3 linked regions of the Neodiprion lecontei genome follow. The protein of the gene in region 1 binds, or shares a complex with, the protein of each later gene. Links are inferred from orthologs where the notes say so. Each region holds a gene or a part of one and is shown on either strand. Other genes may lie near its edges. The genes, in order: gamma-tubulin complex component 4, gamma-tubulin complex component 3 and nucleoside diphosphate kinase 7.

Evidence for each region.
Region 2: the proteins of gamma-tubulin complex component 4 (region 1) and gamma-tubulin complex component 3 are in contact, whole or in part, in a cryo-EM structure (PDB 7QJ0), measured with the Homo sapiens proteins. The link is inferred for Neodiprion lecontei from reciprocal best matches to the Homo sapiens genes TUBGCP4 and TUBGCP3. Residues at the interface, in NP_001273343.1 of Homo sapiens: His35, Pro36, Ser37, Glu38, Ser40, Val41, Arg44, His116, Leu117, Ser118, Ser120, His121, Tyr124, Phe125, Asp127, Gln128, Leu131, Pro134, Lys159, His160, Cys162, Gly163, Gly164, Leu165, Pro166, Arg169, Leu630, Ser631; in NP_006313.1 of Homo sapiens: Arg252, Asp253, Tyr256, Gln259, Ile261, Asp262, Lys264, Arg305, Ser312, Leu313, Arg315, Leu319, Gln322, Ser323, Cys325, Ala326, His329, Arg333, Tyr336, Arg337, Ser340, His343, Ser344, His424, Pro425, Tyr593, His595.
Region 3: gamma-tubulin complex component 4 (region 1) and nucleoside diphosphate kinase 7 share a complex: the UniProt entries of both Homo sapiens proteins name them as parts of the gamma-tubulin ring complex. The link is inferred for Neodiprion lecontei from reciprocal best matches to the Homo sapiens genes TUBGCP4 and NME7.

The regions. Positions count from the first base shown.
Region 1 is NC_060260.1:32,567,119-32,574,874, reverse strand, and holds gamma-tubulin complex component 4, read left to right. Parts: upstream 1-2,126; 5' UTR 2,127-2,832; coding exon 2,833-2,901; intron 2,902-2,976; coding exon 2,977-3,118; intron 3,119-3,331; coding exon 3,332-3,525; intron 3,526-3,686; coding exon 3,687-3,781; intron 3,782-3,860; coding exon 3,861-4,177; intron 4,178-4,357; coding exon 4,358-4,831; intron 4,832-4,917; coding exon 4,918-5,095; intron 5,096-5,259; coding exon 5,260-5,482; intron 5,483-5,638; coding exon 5,639-5,887; 3' UTR 5,888-6,482; downstream 6,483-7,756. Other genes in the region: E3 SUMO-protein ligase PIAS2, read right to left, coding at 26-124, 361-527, 929-1,207; osteoclast-stimulating factor 1, read right to left, coding at 6,808-7,038, 7,111-7,322, 7,407-7,524, 7,600-7,646. UniProt on the Homo sapiens protein: Component of the gamma-tubulin ring complex (gTuRC) which mediates microtubule nucleation.
Region 2 is NC_060264.1:20,999,621-21,005,331, forward strand, and holds the start of gamma-tubulin complex component 3, read right to left. Parts: upstream 3,414-5,711; 5' UTR 3,286-3,413; coding exon 3,207-3,285; intron 2,071-3,206; coding exon 1,904-2,070; intron 1,829-1,903; exon of another isoform or gene 1,828-1,828; coding exon 1,695-1,827; intron 538-1,694; coding exon 120-537; intron 1-119. Other genes in the region: ribonucleoside-diphosphate reductase subunit M2, read left to right, coding at 4,760-5,008. UniProt on the Homo sapiens protein: Component of the gamma-tubulin ring complex (gTuRC) which mediates microtubule nucleation.
Region 3 is NC_060262.1:3,443,381-3,449,121, forward strand, and holds nucleoside diphosphate kinase 7, read right to left. Parts: upstream 3,689-5,741; 5' UTR 3,484-3,688; intron 3,318-3,483; 5' UTR 3,276-3,317; coding exon 3,159-3,275; intron 3,055-3,158; coding exon 2,888-3,054; intron 2,821-2,887; coding exon 2,659-2,820; exon of another isoform or gene 2,570-2,658; coding exon 2,362-2,569; exon of another isoform or gene 2,289-2,361; coding exon 2,168-2,288; exon of another isoform or gene 2,146-2,167; intron 2,055-2,145; coding exon 1,930-2,054; intron 1,898-1,929; exon of another isoform or gene 1,847-1,897; coding exon 1,733-1,846; intron 1,568-1,732; coding exon 1,460-1,567; intron 1,394-1,459; coding exon 1,358-1,393; 3' UTR 1,222-1,357; downstream 1-1,221. UniProt on the Homo sapiens protein: Possesses an intrinsic kinase activity. Displays 3'-5' exonuclease activity with a preference for single-stranded DNA. Does not seem to have nucleoside diphosphate kinase activity.

The sequences.
Region 1 (7,756 bases):
CATAGTTAATGTAACTCTGACTTACCTTGTATAATAGTTACGGGAATGCATGTTTTGATCGATTTGAGGCTCACCGTTGTCGCCACCTTGACCATACAGCTGATGTGCGGCAAGTTGATCTTGCCTGTGACACAGATTTTTATTGTACTGACAATATGAGTGAAAGAAAGAACTATGTGTATTTATTAATAAATCAGCAAAGTATCACCGTTTCAAACTGGTTCCATTCATTTTATTAGAACATGGCTGTTTAATTATGAACTGTGACAGCTGTTACACGTTTGATGTAATCCTTAAGTATTATTGTTCTGACAGATATCTAGCCAAAGGGAATGAAAATTGGTATAAATATTGGCTTACTGTATGGTTCTATAAAGGTCGCGAATTTTTAGCTGCACAGGATGGGATCGAAGGCGTAATAGTTCCAAAGCTCGTGTTTGAAGTTCGTTTTTTCGACCTGATTTGTTTCGCCCAGCAAAACCCAAAAGCATCTGAAGTTCAGATACTCGAAAACTTAATACCATACTCTGAAATAGACAATTGACATTTTTATAGCCATAATAGCCCAAGATAATTATAGACAAACTGAGACTTCACAGAATGAGAAAATGTCTTTAATGATAACAACATTAGGCAATAACGACAAATTCTTCCTGCTAGAAAATCGTACCGTTTCTGTCTAGCTATATTCTCAAATGTTATTACACTCTATAGTACTAGTCGGAAAAATATATAATCAAATATGACAATTTTTCCCAACCTGCCATATACGAAGTGCACAAAAGTAAACTCTTGTGCCCAAAGTAGATAGATGGGGAGGCAATTCCAAAAAATTTTGTAGAGTAAAATATGTTGATTATTTGAATAGCGTGATGCATAAGCTAGAGATAGAGGTTACCCATTGTAGTTATCAGTTGCTCCTACTTGCCGTCTCGTATCCGCATTCCTGTGTTATGCTTGAGATACACGAGAAGTTTCCGAATTGAATGAAGATACGTTTACGAAAATATGGAAGTTGGAAATTGGACGAATGTGAAGAAAAGCGAAAAGCCGCGTGTGAAAATAAATGTCGCTTAGTATGATCAAACGCAGCCTTGCTTGCGTTGGCAAGACATTGGAAGAGTTTGGATATGTGAATGTTCGATAATTGGTGAAAAATAAGACACGGAAAAATCAATGACTCAAGTTTCTGGAAGGCATTTAACATGTGGCTCGTTTAAGTCAAGATAATAAGATCTATTTTATTCTCGTCCTACCTTCAGTTCTTCCGTATCCGCCATCTTCCTCGACGATTTTTTTTGCGAAGCCGTCTTGTCTGCTGTGCTTCCCACCACTTGAAGAAAATTCCCGTTCGTTTCCCGCGTTGTACGCCGAAATTTTTATTTTCGCTGTAATATGCTGAGCACTTTTATGTCCAGCGTCACAGAAGACTGATCACTCCTTATCTTAATTGTTATTGTATTTTGGAAAAGCTTTTAGTGGCCTTTGACGATCACAATACGTCTGGGTTCATGGAATTATTCAAGTTTCCTTCAAGTTAAGACTTGGAAGTGAAATTTAAACAATTATTTGAAATTGTTCGGAATAGACTGCGTACTGGCTGCGTTTACTCCGAAAATTTATCTTTTTCCAAGGCTATGCTCCAAAATTAGTTGACAGTACTGTCAGCAATCTTTTATCTTTGTTGTATTTCAAGTTTGACCACCAGTTCTGTTTCTAGTTAATGAATTATCAACGGTCGCAGCTCATTTCGGAACACACCCTTCTATATGGGTAGCCATAGACCGCTAGCCAATGTCCACGTGCGCCATCTGTGTAATTTTCATGCAACAGGGCTATGAGAACGACTGTAAAACATTATAGAAAAGATTTTTCTCTGATATAAAGATGTATATTATATTATATATGCACACAAAAAAATCAATTTGATAACTGTAGAATATCTGTCAACGGTAGAGGATTATTCTTATTGTAGGGCAATAATTCACGCGCATTCTGAACGTTGCTATAACTAGTTAGAACGGAACAATCATGTAAGAGTCAAGAACATTAAAATCTTACCTACGACATGCCTACGACTAAACCGGAAGTTTTACAAACTTGAAGATTCCTGGTATTTCGGAACATTCAATTTCGTTCCTTCAATTTTTGACTAAAGATATTCGAAACTGCTAGCCTTATGGACTGCTGAAGGGCGAGGGGGAACGTTACAATATTCTGCTACGCCGACTTGATCTTGCATTAGGATCCCGCGGATTGGGATGAGACGAGTCAGTTGTTAAGTGCAGGGTAGTGGAATTACACCCAAACCTGCCCAGTAGAGCTGGCAAATTACTATCAAAAATAACGCAGGGCTAGCTGGCAGTCTCCAACAGTGTCCATCGTTTCACAAATTGTTACCGAGAAGTTGTTATAATGTTTACAAATATTGTTTTTGCATTGGCAGATTAATTGGAATTGTCTATGGCATAGCAATTTTCGAATTGCGGTTTGCATTGCAGACTGTAGCAAACAAGTGTGCTTTGATTTCCACAGATACACCAAAGGTTAATGAGAAATTTGAGAGAAAATCAAAAAATTCAATAAATATCTACCTCCCGCTGATTTTAACTAATTTCTCGAGAAGTTTCTTCCCTTAAATGCCGATACACGCATGCAAACACGGTCGTGCAATTGACGATGCACTTGAACTCGGAAGTGGATGCGTTTACACCAATGATTCAGACGTGTTCTCAAATCAAATTTAATCAGACTTCAATGCTCGAACAGCTCCAAACAACCTGGACTGGGTAGACGGATCTTATTGTTAAATGTGTTTTTGAAGCGAAAGAAATGCTGCACGAAGTTTTATTGTCTCTTTGGGGTTGCACGACTAATGTCGTACAAATTATAGACACTGATGTAAGAACTGCATCGTTTATGGAGTTGACAGTTGTCAAGATATAACCTCCAAAATCTGACAAACTATGTTTACAGTTTTTAGAAACCGAAAAGCTTCTACACCCTGGAGAGCAAGCTTTGATTAAAAAAATTCTAGGCATTGCGGAGGAATGTAATGCAGTGAGAAATTTTATAAATGCCCATACGTCTGTTATTGGTGCTCCGAATGACGCAACTGGTACAATATATTACCAAATAACATTCACATTAAAAGTAAACTAGCAAGATTTGTTCATGCAAAATATCTGAATTACACACTATCAACATTTCTTCAAGAATTTTCACTAACCCACAATTGACAAATTTAAAACATCTTCGACTATATCAAGGTTAATGCTTTATAACTGTCTGATTGCAATACGATTGACATGATGCTATTTTGCTTACACAGGAAATTTGAAATGGGGCCTTTATCTGCAGGCCTTATGTGACGGTATGGAACAAGCAATACAGCCGTTTCGCGAAGATGTTATCGAATTGGAAAAAATCGTGCTGAATGACGCGTACACGCCATTGACCTTCATACTATCACGAATACAAAAATATCTCTGTTTATTCTCAGTTCTGAATTCCATAATAAGTGAGGTACACATATCTCTGAATTGTTGACTCATATTTGCGTTTTGTTTTAGTTAAAACAAAAATTGGTCGGAATTATATACTTTAAAATCACTTGTTATCAATCAGGAATATAGATGAAAGGTCAAAGTAAAGAAACATTATGTGTGATACATGTACTGTTTTAGATTCGAACCCAAAAAGTTCATGGCTGTAAAGTATTACAATACTTGCATCAACACATGCACACTGGGGTACCTGAAGTGCGGCAGGCTTTAGAAAAGTATGTGAGCTCAAAGATTCTTCTATTTTTATAAAATTAAAAATGACTCATATTATCGATCAATTTGATATACTTTCAGGATGATGTATTGCTGTCATGTCGTGTTTTATAAACAACTATCCAGTTGGCTCTTATACGGAATTCTGGAAGATGTTCATAACGAATTTTTTATTCAAAGAGCATCTAAACCACAGGATAGTTTGGTTCTAGCTAAGAGTAAAGACAGTTCTGGTATAGCAGATGAAAAATCATCAAAAAATTTATGTGCAGACATGTGGGATTACGAAATAAAAATCCATGTACTGCCATCTTATATAAGGCCATCATTAGCGCTTAAAATATTGACCATTGGTCAAACTATTATCATGTTTGGAAATGATCCCAGACAAAAGAAAGGTATACTTTTAGTGTTATTGTGCTTGAATCACTAAACCTATCATCCACTGCAACAGATGTGTATTAAACTGATTTGTTTTTACATACAATTCTATTAAAAATATTTGGAGTTTTCTAAATTTTCGAAATAGATGAAATAGAGAAATTTTTTCTAAAACGAATTAACACTTTAATTTCCAGATCTGAGTATATTCACAAAGGCTGAAAACTCAATATGGGGTGCAAAAGAGTACGAGCATTTTCACGAGTTACAAAATTTGAAAAATAAAAGAACTTTTGATATAATTGAATTTGAAAGAACTGTTGATGAACTCAAACAGTGTGTCACTGAACACTTATGGAGAGTTGCGGTTGAAGAAGCACAGCTTATGCATCAAATTAAACTGATAAAAGACTTTTTTTTACTCGGTCGTGGTGAATTGTTCCTTGAATTTATTAGATTAGCAGGTCACATATTAAATAAAAAACCGACTAGTCATACCACCAGGGATATAAATTTATCATTCCAAATAGCTGCACGGAAAATGCTCCTACATGATGAGAGCACAACGGAAAGTTTTGACTTTCTTGTTCCTGTCCCAGAGATTGAAAATGAAGTTGGTGAAGATCCAGAAGATGGTGAATTTTCAAGAAGAGAACGCGAAGACCCCATTGGTAAATAAACCATTCCCATTAATATTGCTGAATCATGACTAATGTCAACATTTTGCATGAATTGACCATGAAATTTTTAATTGCAGACACAAGAGGATGGGGACTGATTCAGCTTCAGTACAAAGTAGTCTGGCCATTACATTTGTTGTTCAGTCCAATGGCGTTGTGCGATTACAATACATTATTTCGATTTTTGTTGAGAGTAAAAAAAACACAAATTAATTTACAAAATCTATGGTCCGAACATATGCGAACAAAAAATGTGTAAGTTCATTTATTTATTGTTAGTAGTGAGAATGAATTGACCGACCACACCAGTATTTACTTCATGTCGCGAAAAAATTAAACACATATTGGCATTACTTCAAAAGTAGGAATTTCGAATCTCTTGTAAATACGTAACTAACTTTTAATGTATTTCCAAACAGTGATATTGGAGTGATGCAGTTGAGAAACAACTTGATGTTTGTTATCAACAACTTACAGTATTATTTACAAGTAGATGTACTAGAAAGTCAGTACACAATTATGGAAAATACTATGAAAAATACGCGCAACTTTGAGGAGATTCAAAAAGGACATTCTGTATTTCTAGCCAACATTATGTCACAAACTTTTCTGTTCCAAGGTTCCAGTGATAAAGTCAACCCAGTAAGTTTCTTTCCAAATTATTCACTTCTTTTCGAGTTACATATTTTAAATATCACAGTACATTTCGATGTAGCACATATGTTTGCAACTAATCAGCATCAGTTAAACTAGGATCAGATATATTTATACTCTTGTACAAACAACTAAATTTTTTAGGTCAACAAGTTGATAAAAATATTGTTACGGCTGTGCGACGATTTCATACTGCAAGCACCCATGTGGGAATTGGGTAATTTACTAGTAACTGAAAAAGAAGAACTCAAAGCATTAGCCGACACTTTAAATAGTCTTATGGATTGGCTAACAAAAACTTTGAACAAAGTACGGGCGCAACCAGCAGGGACACATTTGGCACAGCTATTACTGCGACTTGATTTCAATAGATGGTTCAGTGGAAAATCTTGAATAGTTTCAGCAAACTTGTTCATATTGAACAAAAATGATGACCAAAATTTTTTTATATAATGCACAAGGCAAGTTGGTTAATTGTTTTGAGTTACCACGATTTGCTCTGCACAGGTATTTACTAATAGCAAAGCATGCATAGTAATAATTTCGAGTACGTCGAGTTACTCAAGTGTGAAATTACTGAACTCAGCTGCAAGTTGTATTGTAAATTATTTTGCATGGTACAGAAACATGAAGTGAATCTTATTTTGTTTTGTAAGCAAATGGCATGACATTAATTAGAGTAAGTACGATTACGGTATTGTTAGTGGGTAAGCAATGCTTGATTCTCTAACATATTGTTGAATATATCTTGAATAATACTCAGTCTTTTCCTAATCACTTATTTACTTCATTGTTAGTTATGAGAATGAATTTACCTATTATATCAGTATTTATTAAACTCTCCAAAATTAAATACATATCGGCAATACTTTCACAGCTTACGGATGAAATTCGAAAACAGATGTATTATATCTAAACTATAAATTAATAAAAACGTTATTTCTTGATAAAATTTTCAACGTAATGACTCATTTCTAATTTTAACATTGTAAAATTTCAAAATACACTATACTAAAGAATTCATTAATACCCTGGTAGAAGTACTCTGTTGAGATCCTCGATGTAAAATACGTACTTGAAGCTACAATAATAATAGTATTTTCGAGCTCACATTCGGAATGGTATGTGTGTTATTATGCAGGCTGAACTTTTCACAGTTAAACTTACATTGTATCACTTTTGTCTTACAATGAACACAGAATTCCTTTTTTTTTTCCTGTAATATGTTCAATGAAGAGACAGCTCATAAGAGAATTAACGTACATCAGGAAAGGTTACTTATTAGCACTCCTTTATGAGTGCTCCTTTCTTCATTAATCACTCTCATCTTCATAGTCATTATCATCGTAACAATGATTAGCAGAATATTCCCTGTAACTCATTTGTATAGTATTTATAACTGCTGCGTTGCTAGCCAGTTCTTCTGGTATTAAATTATCACTGTTCTTAAGACTAGCATCAGCTCCAGCTTCCAGCAACATCTCTACAACTTCTAAATGTCCATGGTTTGCTGCTGCATGTAATGGTGTATCTCCCATTTTATTCTGGAATAGACCAATTCACTATTTATTTCTATAATCTTTTGATACATATTTTCATTATTCTAAGTCTTATACCTGTGCATCGACTGCAGGATTAGGCAGACTCAAGAGCTCTTTAACACAATCGATATGGCCTGCTCTAGAGGCCCAATATAATGGAACATTTCCGGCAGAGTCTAAGCCAGTACCTGAGACTCCACCTTTCAAGCATTCTCTTAAGAATGATATATTGCCACGTCTTGCAGCTTCATGGAGTGGTAACTCGACTTCTTGTGTTTGTTCTTCAACTGGGAGTAATTAAATACAAATTTAATATATCATACAATGACAAAGTCTTATATTGTTCAACATAATCAAAATACTATACAAACCATAATTGGCTGGTATTAGCCCTTCGCGATTATTACACTTGGCCTTCCACCAATTTGGATCCGTGTCTTGGTCGTAGACATAGAGTACCTCATCTTCTTCAAATGACAGCTCATCTGGCTGCAAAGTAAGGAAAAACTTACCAAGTTGTAAAGGTAAAAAAAATAGTAACAAATTTAGGTTATTACTACTTACACGTAGCGCAGTATATTTGTACAGTGCTCTGACGACTTTCACCTTGCCTTAAAAGAGGGAAGAGATTAATTGTAACAAATAAATGACCATGAATATCTACAAATAAAATAAAAATATCAAAACACTTATATTATTTAGTTAGTAATTATTATTCGGG
Region 2 (5,711 bases), on another chromosome or scaffold:
TTGGAAAAAAAGTCAAATAAGTCATTGAAAACTTGAGATTCGTGGAATAATCGGTTGAAGAAGAAGGTAGTACGAAACTTTCTTTAAAATAAATCTGAGAAAAGAGAATAAACTCTGACCTGTTCACCTCCTCCTGCATGATAGCAATAAATCTATAATATTCCGAGAGTTCCTGATGCAGGGCAGCAACAAAGCTGTCTGCGACTCGTCCAGAGCATGCAGCAGACATTCTTTCCAGCCCGCGGCTGACAATGTTGTGAAGATAGCCAAGCGCGCTGAGCCTCAAGACACCCTGTCTGTGCGTTCTGTTTAATTTTGCTTTCGGGTCTATTTGGAATCCATAGCTCGAATCGAGCTTCAAAACCTTTCCCTCTATCCCCTGGAATGAGTAAATAAGATCCTGGACCAGCAGATCTTCGGACACTGACTCCTCGTTGAATATTCTTGCGGGATGTAGAGATGGGCCGCGAACTATCGTCTCTGTGTAACTCAATGGAAGCATCTGTCCCTGAGAGCACGAGACCTGTGAGGTCTGACCTAATTCAAAACAGATGATATGCAATAAGCAGGGATAAATTTTCAGGAAGCCTTTACGTGACTCAGAAACAATTAATGAAAGAATTGATACTATTTTATGATATGGAAGACGAAAATAAGCTAATAAGAAACTCGAATCTGTAAAAAAAACAATGTATAAGACTAAACAAAGACAATGCGATTGAATGATTGTATTATGTTTGTTTATTCTGATTAATCGATTAATTAGTCTTTCCAATTCATTGTTTTTCAGTGAATCGAATAATCGGCCCGGTTTATTAATCATATTTCCGATTAATTGGTGTTTCCAACTCCATTTTGTCAGTTAATCGAGTTAATAATCCTTTTAATTAACTGCTTCTTTAATTAATCAATTAACCGGCATTTTCAATTATTCACTTTTTCAATGAATCGATTATTCGGCACTTTATTCTTCGTACGCTTGATTAATCGTTTTTGCGAGTAATTAATGATTAGATCTTGACAAATATTTATTTTTTCGGCTAATGGTTTGTTTGGCATTATCATTTAATCGTTTTTCCAGTCATTCGACTCTTTCAATTAATTGCTTTCATAATTAATCAATGAAATGCACAGCCCTAAACAAAGCATTAATTACAGTAGAAACTCTATTATCCAAACCATGATCACCTTAACTAAACCATCTATTGTCCGAATCTCAAGTCAAATTGGCATGGAATATATATACATATATCGTAACATATATGTGCATTACATATTTATTGAATATTTTCTAGAGCTGATCATCGCGTCACTTAACATTACTGTTCAACTATCCAAATTTTTGATTATCGGAACCAGGCCTGGTCCAAATTGGTTCGAATAATCGATGTTTTACTGTATAGACGTTTTTCTTTTAGGTTTGGTATCTTTAAGAAAAAATTTTCCTTTTTTTTTGACAAGTTCAGAGTCATTTTTCCCATACTATTCTTAATTGAAAATTCGTAACGAAGTTAGAAAGCAACTGAATTTCTTTTTTTTACAATATCATCAATTAGAAGTGGCTTGTTAATGCGTCCGGCATCAAATGCATGTTGTCACAAATGCATTATTTGCTGTGTTAATCAGTTTCATTTATGAAATAGCACAAAACAAAAATTCAGAAACTGGTACAAATTCTGAGTTTCTTTACGCACGGCTGGTAGATGCGACAGGTGATGTCAGACCAAGCCTCATATCGGGGAACGAAAAATGCCTGTCCTTAGTCTGATCAGCGGTTTGTCCCATGTAAAGCAGAAAAGTCAGGATGCTGAGCCTGTTCTTTAGTGGCTGAAAAAATAAGGTTATAATATCAAGAATTTAGTTGATATGAAAGCAAAATAAACTACAAACAAATCAAACGCACCCCGTCCTTAAGGTCGTTGTGGAGTTTGTCGAACTGAACGGCATCGCGAACTTCAAGTTTTCCCTTGATCTGTACGGCAACATTCATTTCATCTTCTCGGAGTGTTTCGGCACCTGGAGACGAAGAGAGGAGTCCCAATGCGAAACGCACAAAGCGTCTTATAGCCTCTGCAAGTATTTAAACATGCAATTTTTAGTCTAAATTGATTGATGATGCTCTCCTCCTTTCACCTCTGATATATGGATCCTTAACAGGCATGTTTTAATTTAACAATAGGATTGTAAATGATCCGAAAATGTTGTGACCCTGCATAGAGGTAAGAATAATAATATCTCAATTTTTCCTTATATCAAAAAACGTTCAAGTCCCCGCCGAAGTGCTTGCTTTCTGCATTTGTTTTCTGCGATGCCATGGCAACAGCAGGAAAGAAAGATGCATCTGCATGCGAAAAATTTGGGATAGCTGAAAACTACGCGGCTGTAAATTGACAGTAATTTCTGATTATTATCATCCTTGAAAAATAAATTACGGTAATTAAAATATTGGTATCAACAAAAACCATCAAAGGAAAAATAAATATAATATAAGAAAGTAGGAATTAAGGTTTTTTTAACTTCTCGACACAATAAATAACAAGCTACACAAATTAAATATCCAATCGAGATAATAATGGTAGGTGAACTTTATTTTCAATTGTGTAGTGAAAAGATTTTATGCTGAAAATAGGAGCAGAGTATTTCGGCACATTGAGCATAGGTTTTTTAAACGTTTATATGGTTTTCGAATCGATAGTCATTTTCATTCCAACAAACTTATTGCTGATCTTGTTCGTCAGATTGTAAAAGCTATGCGAAATCAAATCTTTGGTAGATACTTTGTAGGAATTAAAAATTGAAAACCTTCTTTGCTTCGTTTGTTATTTCATTTATTTAAATAACATTTAGAGTTAAAAATAATTCTAGGGATGAAACCTAATCTATGACTGTTTCTGATTGTAAATATAATTTTAGTAGAGTTAAAATATAGCAATTAATGTCCAAAAATTATCACAAATGACTGTAAATGATGAAATGAGAAGTAAAAAAATTCCAATCGTCAATGTTTCAAGGTTTTATAAGGTCGAATAACGTGTACAACCAAATCTGGAGATTCTAACAAAGCTGAAATACATATTCAACGGGATTAAACACTTGCATAACATGTCATTGTGCTTAAACACAGACGTAATAAACTCGTAAAAACGATTGTGGCGAGCGGTTAGCCCGGCCTTAAACCAACCTAAGCTAATTTAACGTAACCTAACCTGGTTTCTGATCTCCCCAAAGAGAAACGACAAGTTTTTGGATGAGATCACTGATCGTCTCAACGTCAGGAACGCTCATTTTTATACTCTGTAGTGCAACTGATGCACTTCTACCAGGCTACGGCTGTTATTAAGTTTCTAATAATCATGCACATTTGTTTCCCAGAGAGTGACCATAGAGTGAGTGACACACGGGTGACAGGTAAGCAATTAACTATTTACAGGCGAGAAGCTAGCTTTTGGGCAATGTTGCCAACTTCGATTAGTTAACGCTGCAAATCGATGGCTAATAATCGATGTTTTCAGTATTTATCGTGGTAATTACAGAGAGAAACCTGTAATTATACCATACCGCTAGCCATTACGTAAGCATTACGTAAGCTAGACACGGAATACTACTGGGAGGCCTACCAAGGCCGTGTTCGTAAATTGACTGCCAGTACTAAAAATTCCCTAGGACAGAGACAGAGCCATCCATGAACTCGGCAGCACAAAAGAGATAAAAGATTGCTAACAGTACTGTGAGTCAATTTTCGAACACGGCCTAAATCTAGTCAAAGTCATGAACTTTCCCTTTAGAAATGTCGAATTATGGGCGAATCACTACATTTTTCAGTGAAAACACTGATTCATGTTCAAACCGTCAAAATTTTTCCACCAAAAACCTTCAAAAACCACCAGATCCAATCAAACACCACCAAGTTGGCAATGCTGGTGACGTTTTCACATCTTCCAGTCCCTGCATCGATAAAGCAGCACGTATCCGAAAAACTAAGCCGAAGGCAGTTGTAACGTTACTGTTTTGTCTCTATTTGGCGGGAAATATTGCGCGCGAGCAACAAGAAATAGCGCGGGAAACGGCCGAGAGTAAATACGATCATCTTTTATTACCGAACCGGTACGCAAACGACAAACAGATTTTTTCCCGCCACGTGATTGCCAAAGAAATGAGCATAAACCGGTTAATCGACGTATGAGCAAAATTTGGCGGCAACATCACCTTTTCCGATTGGCCATCACGGTCACGTGCCGCATTGTGTTGGCAAATTGGCCAACCAGAGAAATGAGAAGCGGAGCCTCGATGACTGAGAATCAGCAATCCGAAACCGTTTGTTAACTTGTCGTCAGAAGGTGATCAAAAGTAAACGATAATGGAACCTGAGCATAAATTGCCTGTAATCACCATGCCACTCCAAGTTTCGCAGAAAGAGAATGTTTCCCGAAAACTGGAAAGTCTGCAAATCAAGGAAAATGTAAGTCTGAGTATTTGTAGTGTTAAAAATCATATTTATTCACTGTTTCAAACTCACGCTTAGCGCGGAGCTTGTCTCATTCAGCAGCCTTTTGCAGCTGCGCGTGACGCGCGATAAGTGTTTTAACGTGTGCATTAATGCCGCAATTCACACAGTCACACATGCACATCGTTTTAATTTCCTTACGCGAGTTGTGCTCTAACCGCAAACTGCGTCACGACCTCGAAACGCTTAAATTCGCCAAAACTGGCTCTCAGTCTCACTTTTCGCTTCGCATATTCTGCTTAGTGAAACATCGTCATGCTTACATCCGCAGCTAATTCCACGGCGAAATCTGTAATCCCAGTTCCCACAGTAATCGACGAAATTTATGTCTGTGCAAATGCCAACGAGGACCTCAGGTTATCGGCCACTTTCCTTCTATTCTTTGCTCTCTCTACTACAATTTTTTACTGCGCTGTGAAGCGCAACTTCTTCAGTGCCTCCACTCACCACAAATCGTCTCTTTTCGCCTCCTCTGGTCATCACGATTACTGCAATTATCCTGTCGTACGTATCTACAAATGTTGATGCGAGGGATTGTTGACTTGAGAAAGCCATGAATACATGTTAATTGAAGAAACTAAGCAATTATTCAAATATTTCTTGAAATTACAAGCAATCTGTCAACATAATTAAAATCGTCTTAGAACGACTTGAAATGTTATGAAATCACATGATAGCGCTGAAGAATTCATCCAGCAACAAGTTTTGCAAATCGTTGTAGGTCTTGCGGTAAACTACAAATTATTTCAATTCATTAAAATCAATGTCCAGTCTTTTTATTGATTTCTATTTTACCATGTGCTGATTTTTAATTATTTGTTGTGATTTCCCGTGATCTTGTTGAATCTCAAAATCATTGAGAATTGCTTGGTCAACTGGAAATAAGCCACAATCAGATATGGTAGAAATCAGAGATAATCAATTCAAATCAATCATTTGATTCCCAAGTGAAGCCACAAAATTAATTAAAAAAAAAAAAAAAACCAAAAACACAACAAACCAGATTGAGTGTCTGGTTTTTATTTCTACTAATATATAAAGTTGCTAAGATGATGATATTGCATTTTAATACTTAGAAGAAAATAAGTTGTCTTGATGGATCAAATTAATCGAATGAAAGAAATTGCCATATTTTATCCTGAAAATAAAGACAAGACGTGCAAAAGTATTTTTTGTCGTTCTGTTGATTAATTGTACCATACACAGT
Region 3 (5,741 bases), on another chromosome or scaffold:
CTAGACGATTGTCTATAATACGTATATTATTCGTAATTCATGCATTTTATATTTCAGACGATCATTTATTGTTGGACTTTATCTACGCGTGTGTTCTATCTGGACTGTTGTAGATTATCTACCGTTTCGAGATGCGAATGCCTACAATGTAGAATTTCTTGGCAAGAAACGAAGGCTGAAAGTATAAAGAATAATTCTTATCTCGTGAAATTTCTCATTACCTCAGAAACGGTGGCTATAATATACAATGGCAATGCAGCTTGCGGCTGTTAAACATTATCACAATTGTTCGCGTTTTTTAAACCGCAGTATATTCTTTAACCGAATAATCTAACCGCCGTGTTACTTGCGAAAAATTGTATTATTATACGAAGTATATTTCCGCGCATCGTTCTGTTTCAGCGATTGTGTTATAATTGCCAATAATTATGTTAGGAAATTTGCAAATGAAAAATAGAGAGTCGCTGTTAATGAATATAGGAGATGATTGTGAGTGTAAAAAAATATTCTCATCCGGTAACGCCAGGATCATTTCTTTTTCTCCGTTTCTTTTCTTTCACATTTTTTATTTATTTTTTTTTATCCTCTTTTGCGACGAACGTATTCGAAACAAGCGAGGCTAATCACGAGTCCCTAATATACGTTTGGCAGATAGTTCAATAAATTTCATAAATAAACGCTGTACAGGTAATGCGAAATATTTACGGTTGTGTGGCCTCAATTTTGCACAGCGGCAAGGTAGGTAATTGAAATCGTTCAGCGAATAGTCCTAGTCATCAGTTTTTGCAGTGGCGTAATACAACATGATGCGTTCGTTCGCTCATTCGCGTGTTCCGTGTGTTCGAGTTGAATGTCTAATAACTTTACGTTCATTCGATCCTTCATTCGTCATCGACATCATCAACATCCGTTTCTTCCGTGCGAACGAATGAACGAAACCAAATCTTTACCGTATTTCGCACAGTTGCTGTAACATTGATTGATTTACCGATATGTATGCGTCGATCAATCGTGGCGTAACGAATGTTTGATCAGTTGAAATAAATGTGGTTTCACTTGATACACGAATCATTGTTTTGACTACTTTTTTGTTGAATTAAACAACATTTATTTAACTTGAAAAAATATTTCGTTTGTCATATTTGATCGCAATATCAGTTAAATTCAACAAATTCTTCTTATTTTCTGCGTGATACAGTGGAGGGACGGGTAAAAAAAAATTAGACAAATGATTTTTGATCGTAAATTCATGTCTATTTATTTTGAGTAGAAAAATATTTATGTACACGTATTATAACGAAGTTGTAATTTCCAATTTATGCAAGATTTGCGCGTGTAATAAAAGCGTTGAAATATCCTAGCTATCGGCCAGTATCTTGAAGAAATATTCAACCTGTAAAATAGAAAATATACACAGGAATCACAGTATGAAAGAAAGGATTTAATTTACTCAATTTACCTCCAGCAATCCATCCTCCGGCAAATCGGAACAGTGAACAGCATTTTGGACCTTGGTCTTTCCATACTTTGCTCTCAAGGTTTCCGGCCTCAATTGCCGCGCTATATCCTGAGAAATTAAAGTGAAAAGTCGCGCCAGTTTAGCGAATGAAATTTGACTGCCTCGCAAAATCAAGTATAAAACGTCAAGAGTAATAAATTCAAAAATAGTGGACATTGTTCTGGGAATAATTGAGCTGATTGATCAGACAAAGGGGGGAAAAAGAAGACTCACAGGATCCATGGGGCCACATAACTTCCTGAATTCCGTCGGAACATCCTTCTCACGGTGGCTGTGCGTTATCTCCATCGCAACGCAGGGTCCGGACTGCATTTCCGTGACCATTGCCTATTCGATGTAAACGGGATTGAATTATGTACTGTTCCGACAATTCTGAAGGTCATTATTATCGCAACGTTGAATGTTCTCACCCCATATTCGGGTAAAACTCCCTTATAGACCTCCAGAAATTCTTCGACGTTTGTGGGATCTACGTAAAACTGTTGCACAGCTGATATTGTGTATCCTGCCTTTTGTATATCGTCGATGATGTAACCTTCGTGTTGAGAATGTTATATTTTTAGTATGAAAATTTACTTGAATCGTCATTCGTCAAATAATTGTTATTTGATGTTCTTTATTTCCAGGAATCTGAATGCAAATACTTACCAATGAGGCGCGATTGAACGGCGTGCGGTTTTATCACACAGCAGGTGCAGTTCTTGAGCGTTGCGGTGTTCTTGATACTCCTGCTCCTGACCTTTTCATCAGGAAAGAAGTACCTCAATTCCTGTAAAGGTTTAAGTTCGGTTGACACGCTCTGAATTTCGCCGAGGAAAATTTGATCGAATTGTTCAACGTACTCTAGCTGCACTTTCCGAGGAATCTGACCCATGCACCGCATTGTAGACCTTGTCTTTGCCGTAACAAGCCCGAATAGTATTCTGAGCAGTTTCTCGAGCTTCCACGCTGTCCGTTGGTCCCATCAGCTCTCGCCATTTGTCAATTCCCTGTTCGCCGATAAGCTGGAGTGTCAAAATTGGACCTGACGTCATGTACTTCAGCAACATTCTGCAAAAACAGTGCGACATTGTCGGATTGAGGCCAAGGACCACCGAGTCGCAGACGCCTTGGTAAAAGAAATGGCGTTCAAAACTCACGGTAAGTCACTCTGTCCTCTATGTTTGTTATAAAATTCCTCAGCCTCGTCTCTGGTCATGTGAACCATTTTAACATTTCCTATGTGAAAGTTGTTCCTTGTTATCCGTTTCAATATTTCTCCCATTTTATCTATAGCATCCGGTTTGATTATCGCCAAAGTTCTGGAATGTTGAATTTACCTAGGCTCTAGCATTATATACAAACTCAAACGTCGAGATACCGATTTACCTTTCCATCTGATCGGCAAGTTTCGCCTTGGTCGCGCCATCTGCAAAATCCTTTATCTTGAGGCATCGTGAAAATATGTGTACCATCCCTCCGATGTAAAAATCTTTGGCAGTAATTCCTTGACATTTCGTTCGGCGTAGGAATACTTTCCTATTCTTAATATCGTACTGTGAAAACAGTAGAAAAGAAACTGATTTAATTGTTTGTCGTTCTTAGTATCATTCTTTACCTCTTGCCTTGTTGGGAATAGTATATCGATTACCGCGCTTACAATTTCTACCGTATTATCTGCAGGAAAGTAGTAGAGGAGAAACTTTTTCAGGAGCGACGCAACCGGGTCGAACCATTCGGCTTCAAAAGTATGTTTCTCGCTATAATCGGACGACATTTTCCTCTTACGTTCCTCCAAATTTACTTCACGCTACAGAGGCTAAAAAGATTTAGAATTGTTGTTTAATTGAGATGCGGCGCGATTATTCTTGGCCAATAACATGGTCAATGATTGGCACAGTGATCAGAAAAATTAAATTCTTGGTCATATTTCTTGAGTAAAAATCACAATAAGCGAATCGATTAAGTTGCAAACAAGAACTTACGGATACACTGAGAAATAGTTTGATGCGACTAATTTATTTAACAGTCGAAATATTTTCTATTCTCCTATCAGGTAACTGCAAAAACGAATAAATTTACGATCAGAGTACGACTTGCATGCGCTTGCACCACAGCTTACACTACTGACAGTTTCGTTTCCATGACAACTACGAATCTTGCTGGTCCTTTCATTCTCGGTACTGAATCTGTGTTCTACGATTTTTTCAGATGTGCCTAGATGCCGCTACTGTTGAAAAATATACGGATTGAGGAGCAAACCAAAGGGTTCCACGACTACACGAATGCATCTCACGTTGCCGGCAATCAGGCGCAGCACACACCGCGAATACTGCGGACGACTCTGCGGAAATATATTTTGTTTTTCAACACTATATTAATGAAATGTGAGATTCGTTGATTCTTGACTCAAAGTTGAGTTAATGTCTCAAACTCGATTGTGATACTATGTGTAATGATGCGTAAGAATTGATCATTGATTATGACACGTTGTTAAATGTAATGAATGTAGTACAGTGATTATGTTTACCTCGGAATTTGAAATTCGGATACTGAGAAAATGATACATTGTATTTACATGCTGAAATATATTTGCTTGTTCAGATTGTGTAATCAAAGTGAATTCATTGATAGTTACTATAAATACCTAATACTAGATATATCAATTTGATATAGATATTTGATATGGAGAAGGAGCGTAGGACCAAGAGGAGAGATATGGCGTGCAGAAAAAAAACCTGCTGAAAGATGTCGAAAACTCAGGTTCTCGTTTTTTGGCTGTAACTTTTGATGCGTCGATCGCAGCGTAGTGGGACTGCGCCCAATCGATTTTTCTCGCAAAATTACGTCGGAATAGTGCATAAACGAATTTATTCCAGCACTTTCTGAAATCGCGAGAATTTTCGCCAAAAATGCAAAGGGGTTAGCCTTACTTTTTTTTTTGGCAAAAAACTTTTGGTCTCAGATTCGATTTAGACGATCCTTATCCGACCAATTGGACCCTCAGGAACTCAGAAATCGCAGCGAAAATGGCGTAGGACCAACAGGAGAGAAATGGCGAGCGAAAAAGCACCTGCTGAAAAATGTCGAAAATTCAGGTTCTGGTTTTTTGGCTGTAACTTTTGATGCGTTGATCGCAGCGTATTGGGACTGCGCCCAATCGAATCCTCTCGCAAAATTACGTCCGATCAGTGCTACAATTACTTGATTCCTGCACTTTTCAAAATCGCGAAAATTTTTGCCAAAAATGGAAAGGGGTTAGCCTTACTTTTTTTTTAGACAAAAAACTTTTGGTCTCAGATTCGATTTAAACGATCCTTGTCCGACCAATTGGACCCTCAGGAACTCAGAAATCGCAGCGAAAATGGCGTAGGACCAACAGGAGAGAAATGGCGAGCGAAAAAGCACCTGCTGAAAAATGTCGAAAATTCAGGTTCTGGTTTTTTGGCTGTCACTTTTGATGCGTTGATCGCAGCGTATTAGGACAGCGCCCAATCGATTTCTCTCGCAAAATTACGTCCGATCAGTGCTACAATTAATTGATTCCAGCACTTTTCAAAATCGCGAAAATTTTTGCCAAAAATGGAAAGGGGTTAGCCTTACTTTTTTTTTTGACAAAAAACTTTTGGTCTCAGATTCGATTTAAACGATCCTTGTCCGACCAATTGGACCCTCAGGAACTCAGAAATCGCAGCGAAAAGAGCGTAGGACCAACAGGAGAGAAATGGCGAGCAAAAAAGCACCTGCTGAAAAATGTCGAAAATTCAGGTTCTGGTTTTTTAAATGTAACTTTTAATGCGTTGATCGCAGCGTATTGGGACAGCGCCCAATCGATTTCTCTAGCAAAATTACGTCCGATCAGTGCTACAATTACTTGATTCCAGCACTTTTTAAAATCGCGAAAATTTTCGCCAAAAATGGAAAGGGGTTAGCCTTACTTTTTTTTTTGGCAAAAAACTTTTGGTCTCAGATTTGATTCAAACGATCCCTATCCGACCAATTCCACCCTCAGGAACTCAGAAATCGCAGCGAAAAGAGCGTAGGACCCGCAGGAGAGAAATGGCGACCGAAAAAGCACCTGCTGAAAAATGTCGAAAATTCGGGTTCTGGTTTTTTGGCTGTAACTTTTGACGCGTTGATCGCAGCGTATTGGGACAGCGCCCAATCGATTTCTCTCGCAAAATTACGTACGATCAGAGCTACAATCAATTGATTCCAGCACTTTTCAAAATCGCGAAAATTT